Linked DNA regions of Daphnia pulex. The protein of the gene in region 1 purifies or fractionates together with the protein of each later gene. This does not show direct contact. Links are inferred from orthologs where the notes say so. Each region holds a gene or a part of one and is shown on either strand. Other genes may lie near its edges.

What was found.
Region 2: the proteins of homologous-pairing protein 2 homolog (region 1) and meiotic nuclear division protein 1 homolog purify together in Homo sapiens (co-immunoprecipitation; 6 studies listed by BioGRID and IntAct, counting the BioPlex papers as one, with this or other methods). This does not show direct contact. The link is inferred for Daphnia pulex from reciprocal best matches to the Homo sapiens genes PSMC3IP and MND1.

What each region holds. Positions count from the first base shown.
Region 1 is NC_060019.1:10,186,601-10,189,565, forward strand, and holds homologous-pairing protein 2 homolog, read right to left. Parts: upstream 1,735-2,965; 5' UTR 1,647-1,734; coding exon 1,491-1,646; intron 1,424-1,490; coding exon 1,193-1,423; intron 1,128-1,192; coding exon 900-1,127; 3' UTR 783-899; downstream 1-782. Other genes in the region: uncharacterized protein LOC124191075, read left to right, coding at 1-629; carboxypeptidase E-like, read left to right, coding at 2,257-2,506, 2,590-2,786, 2,845-2,965. UniProt on the Homo sapiens protein: Plays an important role in meiotic recombination. Stimulates DMC1-mediated strand exchange required for pairing homologous chromosomes during meiosis.
Region 2 is NC_060018.1:2,102,772-2,106,026, forward strand, and holds meiotic nuclear division protein 1 homolog, read left to right. Parts: upstream 1-1,522; 5' UTR 1,523-1,652; coding exon 1,653-1,988; intron 1,989-2,067; coding exon 2,068-2,214; intron 2,215-2,274; coding exon 2,275-2,409; 3' UTR 2,410-2,618; downstream 2,619-3,255. Other genes in the region: retinol dehydrogenase 12-like, read left to right, coding at 22-105, 165-335; probable N-acetyltransferase san, read right to left, coding at 418-583, 646-832, 893-1,029, 1,204-1,211. UniProt on the Homo sapiens protein: Required for proper homologous chromosome pairing and efficient cross-over and intragenic recombination during meiosis.

The DNA.
Region 1 (2,965 bases):
TGGCGTCTTTGACGGAATTATTGGCTTCTTCAAAAAATGGAGGCGACATTCAAATGATAAAGCCATCTGCTTTCAAAGCTAAAGTTGCCAATGTAAATGGATCATTGACCGGAATCAAAGAAACAGGGGGTAAACAGGGGAAAATGTCCTATTCTACTTTTAATCCCGGAGTAAAAGCTAGCAATATTGACAACTCTAACAGTAACAAAAGAGAGCCACCTCCAAGACCCCCTGCGCCCATTCGTTCGCCTTTGACCATTAAGACGGGCGAATCCATAAATTTAGCAGATGAGCTGAATCGAAAGCTTATGCGGCGTGTGATGAAAAACGAGGAAGTAGCCTCTGGACAACTTCCAACTGAATCAAAAAATTTGAATGATTCAACCGTTACGATTATCAGTAAACCTAAGAAAGAACTATACAAAGCCAGATGGGCGTACGTCGCTACAAACAATTTGGAGTTATCGATTAACAGTGGAGAAATTGTTCAGGTGCTCACCAAAAGCGGAGCCAGCTGGCTAGTCCAAGCAAGAAACAGGAAAGGTCTTGTTCCTAAAGAGTATCTTGTTCCCATGGCCGCAAATGCTTTATCCTTGACCAAAGTGGGTGAGGCTCCCATTACAGTCTGATATATACCAAAGTCCTTCGACAAAGTGTGATGTCTTTGTTTAAATTTTATACCGGCACAGTTTCCTACGCTAATTTTCGTTGTTTGACACACCAATCTTTAATTTTTGTAAACCATAGATGAAATTCTTCAGAATGTAAGGCTTTGGTACATGTCCTGAATAAATGATATATTGAAACATCAATAATGAACTTGTTTTAAAATAATGTTACCAAACCCTTGGACAACAGAAGAGAATATTTGGTTTGGTGAAAGGGACAATACAGTTTTCTTAATCAGTTTCTACTCCAACTTCTTCGAGCAAAGCTTTTTTTCCCTTGGGGTAGCTTTCCAAAATCTGGTCAAGCATATCTCCACATATCCTCTTTCGTTTTCGTAACTCAGATGCAGTCTTTTCCTTTATTACACACGCTTTCTTGAAGTCAGCAGCAGAAAGTTTCACTTTATTTTGGGACAAATCCTTTAGCTTTGATTCCATTGTTTCATTTTCTTCACACAGCTGCAAAACAAAGACAAGTTCACCTCAAAGAACATAATAAGTAAACAAAATAGAAAACAAAATACCATTTTCAGTTGAGAAGTAGCTTCTGCTATCGACAATGTAGAGTTCAGAATTTTCAGCTCACTTTCAGCTTTTTTAATGAAAGCCTCATCTTCTACATTCTGTCTTGTGAGTTCAGATATTTTAGCATCTATTTCAGCGATATTCAAGTCACCAGCAGGTGACGAAACCAGATCTTGGTTAATGGCATAAACTTTCTGTTTTCCATAAATCTTTTCCATTACTTTCCCAGCCTAAATGTAACAAAGACGAAATTCTACAACATAAGAAAGCAATAAAAATGAAACTACTCCCAAATACCACAACAAATTGATCCAATGTTTTCTGAACAGCAGCCTTCCCAAAATCTTTAAGCTGTGCACTTTGTAAAAGATCGTTGACAGCAAATGGCCTGTTTTGCATGATAAAGTACTGTAATACAGCTGTACTTGTTTTATCCTTGCTTTCTTTAGCCATTTTTTAGTTTTATTCGTTGAAAATCATGCAACTGTTGTGAAACGTGTTGAAAGTCGAAGACTAGAAACCGCCTTCTCAAATCTCAAGTCTCAACGTGCTCTAGATGTTGCCAGATTTTAAAAACTAATAATTTCTTTCAACTAAAATTTTTTTAAATTTGAAATAAAAAAAAACATTCTAACGAAGTATTCTATAGCTCTGCCATGTTTCTAGCCATTTTTGTACTTTTATAAATTTTTAGTGACGTTAACGAATGCAATATTCGATTAACATTTTATGAACAAATTGTTTTAATGTGGGTCGCGGGAATGAATGATGGATGGGGATGGATGAGACAGAACCGTAAATGAAAGAAAAACCAAGGCAGTGGATCGATAAATAGGAAGGTGGGATCCAGTCGCCTATGCGCAGTCGCTTTGAACGACTCACGGTATTGTTTGTCTCATAGATTGTCAAGCTTATGCGTGAGCATCTGCGTATCTGGCTATATCTCGAGGAAAGACTTCGCGTGGGAGTTGCAGTTGAAAAAAGATAAGAGGACCTTTCGAGCGCGCCCTTCCGCGGATCTTGCTGGATGTGTTTGTCGTACAGCAACTATTACTAAAACGGGATGGCTGCATCGAAGATGTGCTTAGCTTTGGTGACGCTTGTTTTTTGTATCGTCTTGATTTCCCCGGCAGTCGTTCAAGCAGCTTTCCAATTCAAGCACCACAACAACGAAGAATTGGCAACCATTTTGGAAGACGTTCACTCCAGGTGCCCAAATATCACCAAAGTGTACGCTCTCAGTGAAAATTCGGTTACTGGAAACCCACTTCTGTTGATTGAATTCTCGGACGAGCCAGGATACCATGAACTCTGTAAGTTGTTATCTATCTTGACTTGTAAAAATTATTCCGTAACATTTTCTTATTTATTTATTTTTTGTTTTGTTTTACTCTAGTGGAGCCAGAATTTAAATATATTGCCAATATGCACGGAAATGAAGTTTTGGGACGGGAACTTCTCCTAAAGATGGCCGACTACCTGTGCGAACAGTATATGGCCGGTAATGAGTCCATTAGATCTCTGATCCACTTGACTCGTATTCACTTGATGCCCAGCATGAATCCAGATGGCTGGGAAATGGCCACTGCTGCTGTAAATTTTAATTTTAATACTTGAGAAAACGATCACGAACTTATACAATTAAACAAAGGGAGGAGATAACTACTTGATTGGTCGAGCCAACAACAACAGTGTCGATCTCAACCGGGACTTCCCCGACCTTGACCGCCTTCTTTACTCTGAAGAAGAAGAACGTACTGTTCGTAATAATC
Region 2 (3,255 bases), on another chromosome or scaffold:
GAAAATTTGCAATCCAAACAGCTTTTCCGCTATTCATCAGTACCATTTTATTCATGGATAGCCATTATACCGATTGCATTTTGGTTTATGAAGCCTGCTCGAATTGTAAGTACTTCATGCCGACAGAATATTGTTAAACATACCTAAAATTGAATTGTTACTAGGGCGTTCAAACTCTGATCCACTGTGCAGTATCAGAGGAAACGGAAAATGAAACGGGACTTTTTTATCGTGACTGCAAGGTTTATCAAAGTCAACTTAAAGCTAGCTCAAATTCCACAATCATTAACAAATTATGGGAGCTAAGCTGTAAAATGTGTAAGATTGAATGGTAGTAATTTCAGTTCAATACAATTATTAGTAAAGTGACATGATCATTTCTGTATTATCAGTTACCTTAGCTTAACCTATCATAATTCATTTTTCTGGTTCACTAAGACTTCTTTGTGGCCTTAAAAGTTTCATCAGCACATGTGCATCAGCTGGCTCAATTCTCTTGTAGTATTGTTCTTTTGTTTCAACAATTTCAAAGCCAAATTTCTTGTAGAAGTCAATTGCACTTTGGTTGTTAACTTGAACATGGCTGTTTTGAAAAGTTAAGTCTTAAAAACATATTTTTTTTTCTCAATAATAAAATATAATTACAGAAAAATGCTATGAAAATCCCCATCCTTTTCCACGTAGTTTAGGACATGTTCCAACATTTTGGCACCAATACCCCTTTTCCTGTATGGAGCTAGGCATCCCAGGGTCATGATGTACAATCTTCTTGATCCATCTAAAATATCGATCCTACAGCATACAGCTCCCACCACAATGTCATTATAGTATGCTGCACAATAAAATGTGATAAATGTAAGGAGAAATAAAAGGAAAATCAAGTATGTGGTACCTAGCTTAGCCAATTCTCCTGCTTCTAGAATATCTTTATAGAACTTGTCGTTGTAGGAAACTGGAAATACCACTTGATTCAATCGTTTCAGTTGTTGTAGGTTGTGAGGTGTGACATCCCCCAGTTCTATTGTTGCCCTGAAATAAAATAATCCTTTGTAATTGTCATCGGCATGCAAAACGGGATATTCAGTGGCAGTCACACATACAGCTTGTTAAGACTTTAAGGTAAGCTATAATAGAGTTTGTTTTTAAAAACACTGTGTGGAATGCTTTACCAATTACTTCCCCAAAAACATTCAGTTTATTTACCTGGTCATTTTTGTTCCAGTCAAATTTCAAGGGGGCTCACGTTTTGATCGATGTGATTTCGGAAATTTACAGCAGACAGAACTCGAAACCGAAAAAACCCATGGTGCGGCGACGACATCGACAGATCAAAATTTTCATAAACAATATTTGCAATCATTCACAGTTTCAATAATAAAATTCCACGTTGCTAATAAAATGAATCGAAAAAATAAAAAAAAATCCATACGAAGTCCGTACGAATCAAACTTAAAAAAATTGCATTATCTGTGAATGCCTCTCAAGGTGGCTCAACTGGCAACGTCACAAGATTTTTTGAATTTCTCAGTTAAAATTCACTTGGTTAAAGAGTAGTAGTTAAACGTCAAGAAAACGTGTCGTCTCGTCTTATTACAATATAAATTTGAGGAAAAGAAGCTATTAAGTCAAACAGTTAAAATATTGACATTAAAATGACATCCAAAAAACGTGGACTTAGCCTGGAGGAGAAACGTAAAGGCATGATGGAAATTTTTTATGAAAAGAAAGACTTCTTCCAGCTTAAAGAATTAGAAAAAATTGCCCCAAAAGAAAAAGGAATTGTACAAGGAACAGTAAAAGATGTGATTCAAAGTTTGGTGGATGATGGAATGGTTGATACAGACAAAATTGGCACATCAATTTATTTCTGGGCCTTTCCTAGTAAGGCAATCAATGCAAAAAAACAGAAACTAGTGCAACTGGAAAATTCTAGTCAACAACTGAAGAAGTTGAGAGTTGATGTTGAAGCAAAGTTGGCAGAAAAAAGAGTAAGTTGAGGCGTCATTAGATAATTTTCTATCTTTTTTGTTTTTGTGCACTTAGACTTAACTGACTGTCGTAATTTAGGTTGGACAACAGGATGATGATACAAAAGACGAATTATTACAAAAGTTAAAGGAAGCACAAGTACAAAACGCTGAATTGAAAAGAAGTCTGATTGAATACCAAGAACTTGATCCTGATGAACTTGAAAAACTAAAAGCAGAATCTCAGGTGAGTCTTTCTTGTGTTGGCAGTTTCTTTCATAGTATATTATAGCAATTGCTCTCACAGGTTTCTTTGGAGGCTGCGAACCGTTGGACAGATAATATTTTCGCCGTCAAATCCTGGTGCAAATCAAAGTTTTTTATGGAAGATAACCAATTAAACAAAGCATTTGGAATTCCGGAAGAATTGGACTATTTGTAGAAGCCTCAAGAATGCTTTCTGTAAATAATTTAGAAGCATTGTTTAAAGCTTTTTGAATTCTTCCTTGTCTCTTTCCCATGTCCTTGACTGAATTCTGTAAGAACCTGGATACTTTCAACGATATTTTCCTAACATGTATAGTTTTCTGTGTAAAATACTTCAAATTTTGAAGTGCGTTTAATACAGAATTCCGTTTTTTTTTTCATTAACAGTGTTATTGTTTGGTCATTGATTGTCTACCAAAAACTTTAATAACAACACGGCGTATTATTTAGTTTCTATGAACAGATTAGAGAAACGTGAAAAAGTCGGAGTTATATGGTCGAGCTCTGACCATTCGGATTCTTACGTTTACTTTATTTCTTCTTGTTTACGTCTTGTGCTTATTTGTTTTGAAACTGATGTTCCTAGGATGGTAGTAGTTTCTAGCGTCTCGATAGGACAAATAGTGGAGAGCCTGTCTGCGCATCTGCCACATTTTATGCCTTTGCTTCCGAGTGGATAAAAACCACCACTTTTGCGCGCTGTCGACTCAGTGTTCAGCAATACACTCAATTGGCAACAGGTGAACCCTAGTATTTTAGATCTTTTCCCACATTGAATTTTAAAAGGTAAAACATAGCATTCTCATAGTAAGGAACGTAAATTAAGCTACATTTTTACCGTTCCGTGTATCGTAGAGTGCATGAACTTCTAGATTTCCATTTGATAATACGATTTTTGTTGTGTTTTGAACTCTTTTGCATATTAATGCAGTAGATCAAGTGCGTCATCATGTTACGCACTGTAGCATAAAAGTGTTTCAGTTCTCTAAAACATTACACATCCCCTGCGTGAAAATGTCTT